Linked DNA regions of Zea mays. The protein of the gene in region 2 binds, or shares a complex with, the protein of the main gene of each other region. Links are inferred from orthologs where the notes say so. Each region holds a gene or a part of one and is shown on either strand. Other genes may lie near its edges.

Region 1 (7,511 bases), about 130 Mb from region 2:
ATTTTTGCTTAGGCTACGTCCCATGCCTATAAATAGATGAACAGTACCCCGTACTGTTCATGCTGGATTCGGATTGTTCTCTCACCTTCGAGCAAGCCGAAGGTACAAATGTAATATATATCATGTATTACTTTATCAACATATGATATAAACTTCAATAATATTCAATGTTTGATATGATATAAATACTTATTATAACGTTACATTTGAAGACACATTTTCGTATTTGTGAGTGATGAAGATTTGTTCTTCATAACCTTCGTTCAAGAACCATCAAACCCGAAAGGATTTGATGTTTCGAAGAATGAAGGTTCTTTTCATATAACATTTATGTTGCCTTATTTTTTGATTCAGGAATCATAAACAAGAAATCAACATTGGTGTCCACCTCCGGTGAATTCACTTTCACAACCACGGCAATCGCTTCGCAAGGTGATCAAGCTGCGTCTCCTTCGGCAACGAAGCTAGTGCTCCTAATCACAGGTGGTTCAAGCTTCGAACCAGCCAATAAGAAGCAAAAGAAGGAAGCACAGAAAAGAGTACAACATGTTGGAGTACAAGTACCCTTCATCAAGTCCAAATGGTCCCATGTACCGATTACTTTTTATCAAGAAGACCTTCAGCTTAAGGATTACCCTCACAATGATGCCATGGTCATAGCATGTGTCATCAAAGGATTCTTGGTTCACAATGTCCTCGTAGACATGGTAGTGCAGCAGACATTATTTTTGCAAAAGCCTTCAGACAGATGCAACACACCCCTGTGTAGCTTCGGAGGAAAGTAGATAGTGACACTGGGAAAAATAACAATGTTAATCACTTTCGGCTATGTGCACAACATCAGAATAGAGCAAGTTGTATTTGACATTGTAGACATGGATTATCCTTGCATCGTTTCTCTGCTTCCGCTGTTGCTGATACGACGGGCACGCGGCACGCGGCTGTGGTCATGGTCGAGGCCCATTATGTGGCCATGTCAATCTCGGCCGTCCGTGATCCATCCCGCGCCCGCCAGACTATTTATTGAGGCCATACCATACCGCCTAGCACTACCAGTAGCAGGCTTCCAGGTCCGCCTCTCCACCACCGCACGTTTGGAACTGGAATGGAGCCGTGCTTTTTCGTGGCATATCTATTATGCTGTCTTGTTCTTGCTTCATCTCCTTCTGGCGGGGTTATTGCACATCCAATCTGTTTGTTTCTGTTCCAGTTCGTGATTGTTAGGATTCTGCATGCCGTAATTCGTCTCCCGGCCGATCTGCAGCTGCAGCACGATATGTTTGGAGTTAGTCCCTCTCTCTCTGTTTTTTTTTTTACTCTCGCCCCGTGGTGGTTTGCGTACGTGCCGGTGATGATTCACGCAATTGGTGAATTCTGGATGAATGTTCTGGTGCACAGGCATGGTGATATGCACTTCCAAAGCGTCCATCTGAGGCACTCGTTAAATTCAAATATCTGTTTGAAGCCTGGATTCCCAATTTGCAGTTTTACCTTCAAGCCTTTTTGCTTTCGGTCTCATATTTACTACTTTGCCTTCAAGCTGCCGAGACTTTGGGGTAGCCTTTGTTATAACTTTGCGGTTGCCTTTCTTTCTTTTTTTTTTTCCTTGTCTCCTGTGAGGAGGAAGACGGGATCCAATGTCATGACAATCCCAAAGTAACTATGAACTCATTTCGGCTGGAACTCTCATTTCCTTTTGTACTTGGAAGATGAGATACTCGGACATCTTATCCTCAAACATTTTACTGCTCTGATTAGTTTACTACTTTAAGCTGAATGTTTGAATTCACGCATTCAATTCAAAAAATAGAGAAAAACTCGTCCATGCAATGAGGCACACCGCAACGTGTCACTTTGTTTTAATCCAGGGATTTCCTTGACGTATTATCGTGCACAATTGTATACATACGTGAATTTCATTCTGAAACAGATTTTCATCCTATCGCCAAAGTCCAAAAGTTACTGATGTAAAGTCCAGCAAATGCATAAACCCGAACGGCCGTCACGAACTATGCAACGTCCAGATACGCACAAGACAGTAGCTACTTGTTTGACCCCCCCCCCCCCCCCCCCCTCCGGGATCAAAACAAATTTCATAGGACCGATATTATCGAACATTACTTGTTACCATCATCATGTGCATCCGAGCTCAGGAGTGGCTGCTGCTATGCTAGCTCGCCACAGTTTCGCTTGAACACGGAACAACCTGGTTGTAGTTGTCATTTGAACATATCAGGTACACATAATACTATTATGATGCCATATCCGAACATTGCGAAAAATGGTGATGGAGAGTGTTCTTTGCAAAATACATACAGCGGCAAAGGATAGTAGATCTAACATGGATGGATATTTTTTTAATATGTACACCATATACACCAAAGTTTTATATACATAAAACAAGATGCAGCAAAACACACCGCCATTCAGTACCTCCTTTTTAGGCAGAGCTAATTCTTATGCTTATTGGGTATGTTAGCATCAGGAAGACAGGAACGGCTTAGGAACTCTGTGATGAGAGACTGTTCCTGGAAACCTGGTCCTAACAACTGATCATCTTCACCTGCATAGCTCACTTTCATCATCTCAGTTAGCACTTGGTAGTAATATATACACAACTTTAGCACATATACTTTCGATTGTTCAAATAAGGGGGTTTCATGGACTCACAACAATTTTTCTCTACAATAAAGTAACTACATGCTTGTATTTATGAACGACTTACGGCTCTTGTACACCAAAGGCCTTGCGGATTTCAGTTATGACCCGACTAGACACATCCGGACCAAACATCCTGGGAAGGTTTGCAGTCAGGTCAACCTCTATCGATTTCGACCTTACAATCCGGTCCCTCTTGAGCAGGCAGTCCCTCTCCGCCTCATCCATCTCTATGGTGGAATCAACACAGTTGTCAAGCCAAGTCTGAAGAGCCTCCTGAATGACCTTTGCTAACTGTCCATGTATTATCTCTTCCAAGGCTTTCTCACCCCCTTGTCCACAGTCAATGCTCACCATTATTGCTGTAGGCGAGCATGCGCTGCGCACGAAGAGTGACGGAGATCTGTATGGACGAGCCTGCGGTAGCTCCTCGATCTTTCTGCGCTGCTCATCCATTCCAGTTTCCTCGTAGTACTTCTGCAGGTAGTCCGGGTGAAACGCGAGGTCTTTCCGTGGAAGCAGGTCCAGAATCACCACCATTGAAGTTGAGCTGCCTTGTATGAGCTCCAGTAGGAAATGTGGTGCGTCCGTCGAGGCGTTCAGGAAAATGAGAATTGAGGTGATGTCAATGGCACCGTTCGGGACTTCACAGTGAAGCGAGGACTGCAGCATGAAATCAATCTGTAGACAAGGAGGAAACGCACATCAGGTCCTGTCATCGTTTCTTTTTACTACATCTTACAGCAGTAGCAAACAGGAAGCATGTTAATGCAAGCTTTCTTCCATCCTCGACGACATTGCTGTTTTCAATGACTGAAATCACATATTAAGATTGAACTATCAGCTCAAGGACAACAACATATATGACAGTGATATTCAGATTGGACTGCGATTACAGTTTAAGTTTTGGAAATCACGGGACGGATCATTGCCAGTTTCTTTATCTGGAACTCGGCAGTCTCACAAGTCACAACAATAATCTAAGGGACTCAAATGGAGAACTGTTAGTAACCTACAATTGACAAGATGCTTTGATAGAGTTGCATTAGCAATATTTCCATCTAAAACTTTGACAATTCACCTTGAATGGATCAGTGGACAACAATTATCCAATTGGCGAGAAGTAGGCGGTCAGCAAGTGCACCAAACCATACTGAACTGAAACACAAGCCATTTTTTGGTATTCAATACAGATGCCATATATGGGGTGATGTGTGTATTTGAGTACTATATACCAAGGAAAAATGGTGGAATGCATGATGTGCCGATTCCGAGTCATACTGGAGATCCCATAACCGTATTACGCACAGAGCAGTATAGTAGTATGCCCTTATCTTTTGGTATGCAACCACACGAAAGCTGTATTATACTAACATGGTACGGTACTACCACAAGAAAAAAAAAAATAGGATCACTATTGAACTGTACCGACGAGCCAGGAGAGCCCCGTTGCACGTCGAGCGAGCCGACGGCGTTCCCGGCGGCGTTGCGAAACTCGACGACGTCGGCAGGCACGGCGGACGGCAGCAGCCGCGCGCCCAAACGCGCCACCGCCTGATCCGCGACCACCCGCGCCACCTCCCTCTGGGCCATCTCGGGCGCGCGCTTTACCGTAGAATCCGGCTCCGCCGAGGCGCGCACGGGGCTCGACGTTTTGCCCCTGAGCGGGGGAGGCCGCGAGCGGGCTAGCCGGAGGGCACTGAGGCGAGGGAGAGGACTGGAGAGGAAAGAGTAACCCGAGATCAACGCGGGCGCTGTAGCGTGGCTGGTCGCCGGCAGCAACCGGAGATATTGCTCCAGCCGGAGCATGGAGGGGAAGCTGATTCCTGTCCCGGCGTCGGATAGGGGGAGTAAGAAGACGACGTTACAGACTACAGTGACGTGAGAACTAGCAGGTAGCAGCTACAAAGAGGAGGCAGCGCTATCGCCAATGCACGCACAAAAAAGAATTTACGTGATTATCGGGGTGGATATCGAGCCACTCGGCTCGGCTCGACCGAGCTCGAGCTGGCTCGTTAAGGAAACGAGCTGGCTCGGCTCGGCTCGTTAAGCAACCGAGCCAGAGAATCAGCTCGGCTCGGCTCGTTTGCGAGCTCGAGCTGGCTCGTTTATCTCGCGAGCCAGAACAAAAAATATTATACATGTATATATACAACAATATAATTAATTGCTAGTTAATTTCATACTAATTTAACACTAGAAAAGACTAACAATACTCATAATTTTATATATCACATCATCTAAACCGTAAACTAACATAGTTCATCACTTATTAATTCATCTAATACAAGTATAGGCTTTGTTTTACAGATAAATGCTAGCTCATTCGAGCTAACGAGCTGGCTCGAGCTCGTGTCGAGCTGGCTCGTTAACGAACCGAGCTGAGATGTTAGCTCAGCTCGTGATAAAATTGAAACGAGCCGAGTCGAGTCGAGCCGAGCTGGCCACGAGTCGAGCGAGCTCACGAGCCACGAGTATTTTGCCCAGCCACGATTATCTATTAACTCTAATAACTTGGAGGATAGTTCGGAAAATCGGAAGGTCCATATTTTTTATTGCGTTTAAAAAGGCAAAATGTGTGAAGGAGTGTCTTGGACCTAATTTGGGCGCCAATTACTAATGACCGAAGCGAGATTGTAGATAAGATGTAAAATAAATAACACTATCTCGGATGCGGTCTTGAACTTTATCTCTATCGCTGATTTATAGTACACCACCTCTATGATGACCACCATCTATTTAAAACCAAACACCAATGAAGCCTAGTCACTTCTCGTGACGAGCAATACTTTGGGTTCGGCTCTGCAACGTGAACAGCGATGACGGTCCATGACAGGTCACTGAAAGTAGCCTAGAGAGGGGGTGAATAGGCTACACCTGAAATTTTTCACTAAAAACTTCGAGATATGTCAAATTAAAGTTGCACTGGTGCAAACCGGTTCAGTTGATTTTGTTTACAACTGAACAAGTTTGAACCTGCTCAACTTAGATTAAATAATCAGTTAAACTAATATGACGAAGTAGTGAAAGATTTTGCTAATGACTTTCCCTACAGAAAATCCACTCAAATAAATGAATATAAAACAACCAACAATTTTAGGCACTTGACAAGAACGCACAAGAACATGCGATTTAACCCGAGGTTCGGCAACCACCACAAAGGTGTCCTACTCCTCGCTGAGGAGCCCACAAAGGGCCGGGTCTTTTCCAACCCTAATCCTCCACAAGCCGACCACAAAGGTCAAGGCAATCTCTTCTCAAATTTGCTCAAAGAGCGGGTAATATAAACTTCTTGGGGTCGTCCACAAATTTGGAGACTCCCAAGCAACCTCTAACTGTCAAGGAGCACAAGGCTCCAAGAGTAACAAATCCGCACAAGGTTAAGTTTGCAATGAGCTCAAGAACAAAGAGAATGGGAGAATCAAGATGAAATTGACAGCGCGTTAGATCGACTTCACCTCACACCAAGGATCCTTCAAGCGATTGAAGGAGATGCGATTTCGGGTGTGAGATGTGAATTGAATGCCCTTGTTTGGAGTTTGGTCAGCTGAGAAATCGTGGAGAGAGCAGAAGTAATGAAGAGAGAGAGTGTGGCGGGATTTAAAGGATCCCCAAAAAGCTGGCAGCCGTTGGGAGAAAAGAGCCAAAACCGGTTGAACCGGTTTGTAAACCGGTTGAACCGGTTTGTAAACCGGTTTCCACCAGGAAGATCTCGGTTCACTGATCTACTCAGCCGGGGACTCGACCGGATCCAAAACCGGTTGAGTCGGGAAAAATTTCGGTTGAACCGGTTTCACAAAAATATCTGCAACGATTTTTCTGACAGCTATGACTGTCAGACAGTCAAAGCAGGGGTGGCAGAGAAACAGTCCAAAAACCGGTTGAATCGGTTTCAGGTCCGGTTGAACCGGTTTCAGAGGCTGAAGAGCAAGTTTTGAACATTTTGAAGTGAACAAAGGTGGAACTCTTGTGGGAAGAGAAAATGGTTTTTCACAAAGGTATTCATGATCTGGAAAAGTGTTCTCTAAGATGATTTTGAAGGATTTTGAACCATCGCGGATCCCTCTTAATTGAACGACGATTCCTATAACTCAAGAATTATAAAATGAACACTGTCGTTGTTTCCAAGCACTTGGAGCATGCCATATGATGTAGAATTTAAATCCGCTGTGCTTTACATTTTTATGCTCATAAGATCTGTGCTTCTCCTGTCTGTAGAATAACTGTGTACATGCTAGGAGCAAACTTGTTAGAATCTCTGTTTGTTTTGTCATTTAATCACCAAAACCCTCAATTAGGGTTGATTGCACTTACAGTCACCGGATCGCCTGACGGTGCTTCCGGCGGCAACACGGAATATCTGCGGCCCTGCTGCGGGAGCAGATCTTCCATGCGTGCTGGTCGGACGGTCCGTACCCTGGACCTGATGATCCGCAATGGCGCAGAGGGTCGTTTTCTCCACGAAGAACCCTAAAACTCGCCCCTCGGGAGAAATCCCATTAGGGGGGAGAGTTACAAGGAGTGCCCCGGAATCCGCAGGCCACCCGGGACATCTATGGTCAGAGCATAGAGTAAAAGAGAGATAGTTGTGGTAGGCCACAAATAGATTTAAACTAAGGCTACACTATATCTACTCTTAAGGCATGAAAGATAAATGCAGGTAAATAGATTGGCTCGATTGGAATGTGTTCAGGGTTCTCAATCGTCAGTATCCCTTCATATATAAGGGATGTATGGACCCGTTCCTAAGCGATAACCAGCATATCCCATGTGATTAAATGGATAATCAAACACAAGATAAGTAAAATCGTTTAAGTTAATCTAACCGTGAGGGCGCGAATCATCGGGCCCTA
Region 2 (7,353 bases):
CAATATGACCTATACCCGGCAAAAAGTTACTTTCCCTACCTAGACGCCTAGAGCCCTAGACTACAGACACGACTCGCGAGCGAGTGATGTCGACACAACAGATCCTCACGAATCTTTCAATCAATGTCAGCATGCACGTAATCCACGAATACAAAATTCTTCTGGAGCTCATGGAATGCGTATGCTATAGCGGCACTGACCAAAGCAGCCGCACCGATCAATAGCCTGAGCTGAACATCTGGAGGAATACCAGCGGCAGCACAGCAAACTACTGTCGCTCCCATGAATACCTTCTGCAGATTCTGGAAAGCATTATATGCTCCTTTGCAAGACGAGCATTTCAACGTGTGCTGCTCGTATCTGTCTAGCATCTGCATAACACAAAGTCAATCATAAGAATACATGAGTTACTGGAACGCAGAAACACAGCTGATGAAGGTTTACGTGTGACTACTTCAAGATACTGTTTCCAGATCCAGTCGGTAGAAGGTGAACTTCGCTGTCAGTTAAGTAACTATTCTCAAATGCCTAGCAGTGAGAGTGGTTCGACGCTACTATCTTTCCAAATATTTCATTGAATTTGTCCCTTTGTGATACTAAGCACTTAAGCAGGTTGCTGTAAATACATTAGTTCATATGACAACTGATAATGTAAAACAAAAATTTGTGTGTCATAGAAACCAAGTGTACAAACAATGAAGACGTGATAATACGTTCTGCTCAGAAAGGGAAAAATCGAGTAAAAAGGATAACTGTAATAACTTACCAATGCATCGAGTATTAAGAATGTAAGCAAAACAGATCTTTGACCACCAAAAAGGTTGTCATATTCAGATATTTTATGTCTGAAGCAAATATTATACTGAAACTTTTTTGGTGACCCAGATGGCTTTTACCTCGCGCTTTGAAAGGACGGTGGAAGGCAATGCTTCTTGTGTAGGATTTCCAAACCACTCCGGCTGGCTATTGCCAAATTTCCTTAGCCACGTGCGGAATGCTAAAACAAATCGATCAGCTTGTGTGGGCGTGAATGTGATCTTTGTGTACTGCTGATTAATATCCGTAGAAGACTCCTTGGTTGCAGCTAGGAAAATCTTCTCCTGGCCTTGAAGAACGATCATATCGCCATCATAGACCAAATTTGAAGTCCAATGTTCATACCATCGAGGAACAAGCTACACCAAGAGAAAGAAGCTATCAACATTTGACTGTACACATATAAATTCAAACATGACCAAGTAATAAACTCTGCCAATAATATATGCCTACAGTAGGGACTAGGGACCTTTGCCTTGTTTCCCACAAAAACGCGAGAACAAGTTCGTTTTAGCAGTTAAAAGATTATGTTGACAAAACAAATAGGAAAACAAAGCTTAAGTAAAGGAAACACTAAACACACATGTACCTGCCACCATGCTTTTCCTGGCATTGTGAACTGGAAAAAGTTTCGAGCGCTACAGACAATAGAACGAGTCTTCCCTGGGGCCATTGGAATGTTGAAAGAGCAAATCCATATGACCCATTTCTGGTCGCCAAAAATGGGTAACTTTGTGTCTATCTCTATTCTGTACAAGCCAGTTAACAGAAGTTCAGAACCGTATAACGACTGAATTGCTTAAGTGGTAAATAAGAATCACTCCACACTCAAAGATGACCAGGTACTTTTCTGAAACTTACTTGTTTAATGCATAACAAGGGGCCTCAAAAGTTGCAGTAATGCGAGGATTACCAGAATTTGCTCCTGAGTAACCCCAGGCACCACTTGATTCCATCCTGAATGTCAAAGGCCTGGCTCTATCTCTTCGTCCAGTAACCTGTGAAGAGTTAAAATCTGAAACATGAGTGGATTTGCTGAAACCATGTATCCCGAGAAAATAAAGCATTTTGTTTGTCTATGCTGCCGGCACAAGTTCATGACACACAGATAGCACAATTAACTCAGCCAGTCATTTATAGGGTTTGGTTTGAGGAGCCACTCCATTCTAAATGTGGTGATGCATCATGAGTCAATTCCTTAAATTTGGTTGAATGACCCCATTCTTCATACTAGTACTAACTACTAGTCTGAGGAATGATGTGATAATGCACTGACCAACCTACTCCATTCAACAAACCAAACAAAGAAAAGAGGAATGAGTGGGTGAACTAACTAATCCCTCAAACCAAACACCCTATTAATGCCTGTTCAGACTAAGCAAGTAGCGTAAGTAAAAAAGAATAAAACTATGATGCAAAAATATATATGGGTGCATCCACAGTTAAGATCTAACAGTTAGGGTTTGGTTCCTTTAGTCCAGGGACGAAAGTTTAGTTAGAAGACTAAAATTTAGTCCCTACCCTGTTTGGTTCTAAAAACTATAAGTATTCAAAACACATTAAATGAATCATAAGAAGACCAAAATACTCCTTAACATCCTCCCGCCATTAGTGCAACTGAAATGAAGGAGGGCCAAAAAGTGGATTTTTATGGTTTAGCCCCTTAGAGTCATCCCTTGAGGGACTAGAGACTAGAACAGTTTAGTCCTTGTTTTAGTCCCACCGTTTGTCAATTTATGGACTAAATGGGACTAAAATGGAGGCACTGATATTTAATCCCTCAAACCAAACGGGACCTTAGTTAAACTTGCACGCTGGCAATCAGAAACGATAAGAGGCCAGACTCAGACCATTCAGCCCTTTTGCCCATTATAAGTCATTTCTGAGGAATTTCAATGCAGCATAAGTAAAAAAGAATAAAACTATGATGCAAAAAAAATATATGGGTACATCCACAGTTAAGATCTAACAGTTAGTTAAACTTGCACACTGGCAATCAGAAACGATAAGAGGCCTACACAATTAAACAGTATTGAGGTGGTGATTTTTTAGCAAACTACACAAATTGGTTGCAACAAAACATCTTTCCTCGAATCACCAACTTTCAACTGAAAAATACTATCATGGTGCTTAAGTGTGGCAAGCAACTAAGCTTTCTCACTGTACCAAGTACCTTGTGGTGAGCAAATTCTATATGGGACGGATCAGAGACGTTCTCCATCAACGTATCATAACCATAGAACAAGTCCCTCTGGATTGTCACCGTGGAGAAGGCCGGGTCCTCAAATTCTTTCGGCAACCTGAAACCAAACAAGATCGAATTCAGACACCGAAATGCAAAACTGAATCCAACCAATTAGCCGCAGTCCAAAGTCTGACTCTACGCACATTGGAGGCTTGGTGGCGGCCGCTTTCTCCCACCCATTCTCATCGGGCCACACGAAGAGCAGCCCCTGGGAGACGAGGGTGGGGAACTTGATCGCGCACGCCTTCGGTGACCGCACCGCACGGGCCTCAGGACCCTCGGGCATGGCCTGGGGGATCTTGGTGCAGGCGCCGGAGCCATCGAATGACCATCCGTGATACGAGCACTGCAAGCACCCCGTCTCATCGATCCTGCCCTCCTGCACATGCCCAGACCAAAATTAGCCGAAACGAGGAAGAGATCCGGTAGGACACGGATGAGGCGAGGAAGGGATGCGGGTCGCCGTACCGAGAGCGGGGCAAGGCGGTGGGGGCAGCGGTCGTCGAGCGCGACCCACTCGCCGGACTTGGGTTCCTTCCAGATGACGAGGTCGCGGTTGAGGAGCTGGAACGGGGTGGGGCGGCTGGGGTCGAGGTCCTCGACGAGGGAGACCGGGTACCAGTGATCCCTCCACGAGAACTTCTCGCCGGACTCGGGCGCCGACGTGCTCGGCTCCGCCTGCTCCGCCGCTTCCCCTGGGACGGACGTCGGCGCCGCCACGCGGAGGCGGGTCCGAGAACGACCGCCCACGCGGAGGCGGCCTCCAGCCAGCGGCACGGCGAGCGAGGGGAGCCGCGGCGTCACCAGGAGCGACAGGGCTGGGATTGTCGCGCGCATATTCTCCCCGCACGTGTCGACGTGAAGTGAAGTGAAGAGGTTTTGGCTTTCGCGTTGGGAATTCTTCGCCGCGCTGGCTATATGCTTGGCGGCCGGAGTCGGTGGTTGGAACGGTGCAGATCTTCTAGACTGGGCAAGAACAGAGTTCTGCCACGGCAACGGGGAGAAACCTGGTTTTGGCGCAAGAAAACCAGTGGACAAACAAGAAAATTCCGGGATTTTCCCACGCTGGGGAGTGAACGCGAGGGAAGAACTAGTAGGGCTGGGCAAAAAACCCGTAACCCGAAACCCAAACCTGGAATACCCGAACCCGAACCCGAAATACCCGAAACCCGAATTTTGTTTGGGAATTTCGGGTAGCAACTTGCAAAACCCGAAATTATTTCGGGTAATTCGGGTATCACAATCGGGTACCCGAAATACCCGAATTACCCGAACTTTCATGTGTCATGTACTCATGTCATGCTTAATAATTAATTTGTACATCTATAATTATGTGTAAGTGTGCATAACTTGGGATTGTAGATTGTTTGTGTTTTATATGTCCATGTATATCATTATTCAAACTATATTTTTATACTAATTTAATAGGGTGTATGTGTTTTTATGAAGCCAACACAATAGTTCGGGTAGTTTGGGAATACCCGAACCCGAACCCGAAATTCCGGGTACCCGAAATTCCGGGTATTGAAAAATCCGTTGTAATTTCGGGTATTGATTCTCAAAACCCGAAATTTAAAAAACTTGAATTACCCAACCCGAAAATTTCGGGTAACCCGAACGCCCACCCCTAAGAACTACTGATACGGTTCGGCTAGGGAGAATACATTGTACACATGGTGAGCGCAGTGTGGTTGCGTCACGGCAGGGAAGGGAGGAAGGGCGGGGAAGGAGGACAATTGTACGCGACCACGCATGGCGCTTTGCGGCATTTGTGCGGTGGAGCTTGCATTGGGCCAGCTAGCCGTCCCCACCGGGACGAATGCGCCGCGCGGAGGGGAGACCTGACCGGCGGTGAGAACGACACGAACCCACCCGTGGGCCGTGGCGGAATCCACCCCGCCGGATGTTTGCAATTCGCATCTTGCTGAGTAGCTACAAAGTTGAATAGATCAAATTCGAATTTGTTTACCAGTTCTACTACTACTTCCGTCCCTCAACCTATAGTAACCATTATAAGAGCATCTCAACTCATTTCAAAAAAACTTTCTAAATTCAGATTTAGCGAGCTGCTAAATATATACTGAAAAAACTGTCAAATCAGTTTTTCTAATTATTACTTGGAATTTTAAATTTAGTTTCATTTGTATGGTAAAGCTATCTTTAGACTTGTCAAATGAGGATGGTACATTTATAATTTTCGCGGCTTAAATCATTTAAAGTGTGTCACTTGTATACGAGCGCGATCCCGATGGTAGGCAAGTGAGTTTGCGATGCAGTTGACAAGCAAAATAGTTTATATGTAGATCTGGTTTAAATGTGATAATTATTTAAACATGTTCTAATAATACTAACTATAAAATAAGTCGACATATTTCAACTGATATCATTTAAATACTAAGGTAGTCATGCTATTTATCCGTAATAGTTTAAACCATGGTCCTGTTTGGTATAATTTTTTTTCTAAAGAATTTTTTTAAGAATCTAAATTTCTAGATAATCTAGCTGGCACGAGAATATAAATATCACGAGACTTGCGTTTGGAGAAAGATGAATATGTGTGCATGGTTTAGGTTTTAGAACGATGGAGTCTTCCTATCGTGACGACTTAAAGAAATATACATTCATATTGATTTAGATAGTTTTCACAGAAATGATACTCACATGAGCGGCCAAAAAAACAAAGCATTTGACTGCCACAAACTGATTGCGATGGCCATAATCTCCAGCCAGCGCTAGTGCCAACGTCCCGCCTTCCTCCTCCAACAGAACTGCGCGCGAGGAAAATACACGTGGGAACCAGCATGCGCAGAGGACGATTGGGAACAATGCTTGACGCGTAATATGGGGAGGGGAAGGGGGACTGTTGGGAGGCTCAAAACGTTTTTGGAGTTGATTTACGGGTTTTCTTGAAGATGCTCTAACCAAATATCCACAGCCACACCTCTGGCGAAATGAATCGGAATACTATCCACATATTAGAACGAACATGAACAAACACCTTGTTTAAAACAACTATGTGCGACATCAAAAGCTCTTAAGTTTGACTAGACTTACTAAAAATATAAGATTTTATATATTTTATTAAACCTATCATGTATCAGAAGTACTTTTATATAGTTGGTCAAGATTTTAAAAGATAGTGCTCTTCAAAAAGCAAGACATTTTAAAAAATGGAGATATAGTACTTTTTAGACGAAGAGAGTAGTAACTAAAATGTAAACTACTAGACAAAAGAATGTTGGCTCAGTCGGTGCAACAAAAAATAGAAACAAAATTAACCTTCTAGTTAGCATGCTAGGGCGCTAGGCTCTAACAAAAATTAGACATCATTAGTCCATATCCAGATTTCCTTATCTTTAAAGCCCGACGGAAACGGCCCCAACTAGCATATCATTCCGTGCATGCGTTCGATCCTTCATCTCCGTCTTCAATCGCTCCAGCTCAATAAGTCTCTAGATGTTTCTGACGGACATTTCGTCTTTTCTATGTTGGCTTCGTTTTTGGAGGACTTTCCATCTACTTAAATATGGTCACGCACAGATCTACTTAAATATGGTCACGCACAGATTTTCAAACACGGCTGTAACACGCGAGCAAGACACGCACAATACACTAGTGTATCATATCGTCAAAGAATATCTTGCGCCCTCAATGGCAGCCAAGATCCTAGGATAGTTTCTTCCTCAGCATGTTTGAATTTTGAAATGTGTGGTGACAATTGTAATCTCACATAGAACAGATTAAACATGATTCCAGCACTACCACATATCCAGATGTACCATATCGTCAAATGATATCTTGCGCCCTCAATGACAGCCAAGATCCTAGGATAGTTTCTTCCTCAGCATGTTTGAACTTTGAAATGCATGGTGACAATTTTAATCTCACATAGAACAGATTAAACCTGATTCCAGCGCTACTAACCAGAATCACAATCACAAAGATCACATCGCACAGATTAAATGTCAGCACAAACAGATCGCCACGCACACACCAAGTCGACCCAACTAGATCCCAAGTTTCCAACTAACAGCCAGAGGGATTAATCAACACAACAGCTACGCCCCTTTTAGAGATGAAAAGAGGGCTAGGGGTTTTTAACATTCCTGGTCGCCAGCAGAGGCTTCACTTGGGCAGCACATGCGCGGCAGCCGCTTCCTCCTGCTGCTGCTGGTAGTTGATCGGGCGGCGGAACAGCATGATGTGCGGCTCCGGCCGGTGGATCGCGTAGTGCACCCACCCGCGGCTCTGCTGCACACCCACCAACCGCCACTGCTTCTGCACAGGAGAGG

What was found. The genes of interacting proteins can lie anywhere in the genome.
Region 1: pheophorbide a oxygenase, chloroplastic (region 2) and uncharacterized protein LOC100272914 share a complex: the UniProt entries of both Arabidopsis thaliana proteins name them as parts of the SGR1-CCE-LHCII complex. The link is inferred for Zea mays from reciprocal best matches to the Arabidopsis thaliana genes ACD1 and ACD2.

Annotation. Positions count from the first base shown.
Region 1 is NC_050096.1:144,514,828-144,522,338, forward strand, and holds uncharacterized protein LOC100272914, read right to left. Parts: upstream 4,480-7,511; 5' UTR 4,468-4,479; coding exon 4,087-4,467; intron 3,340-4,086; coding exon 2,722-3,339; 3' UTR 2,564-2,721; coding exon of another isoform or gene 2,560-2,563; 3' UTR 2,331-2,559; downstream 1-2,330. UniProt on the Arabidopsis thaliana protein: Catalyzes the key reaction of chlorophyll catabolism, porphyrin macrocycle cleavage of pheophorbide a (pheide a) to a primary fluorescent catabolite (pFCC).
Region 2 is NC_050096.1:10,193,984-10,201,336, reverse strand, and holds the start of pheophorbide a oxygenase, chloroplastic, read right to left. Parts: upstream 4,163-7,353; 5' UTR 3,899-4,162; coding exon 3,530-3,898; intron 3,441-3,529; coding exon 3,205-3,440; intron 3,117-3,204; coding exon 2,990-3,116; intron 1,815-2,989; coding exon 1,678-1,814; intron 1,566-1,677; coding exon 1,406-1,565; intron 1,176-1,405; coding exon 897-1,175; intron 372-896; coding exon 117-371; 3' UTR 1-116. Other genes in the region: cyclin-dependent kinases regulatory subunit 1, read right to left, coding at 7,187-7,339. UniProt on the Arabidopsis thaliana protein: Catalyzes the key reaction of chlorophyll catabolism, porphyrin macrocycle cleavage of pheophorbide a (pheide a) to a primary fluorescent catabolite (pFCC). Works in a two-step reaction with red chlorophyll catabolite reductase (RCCR).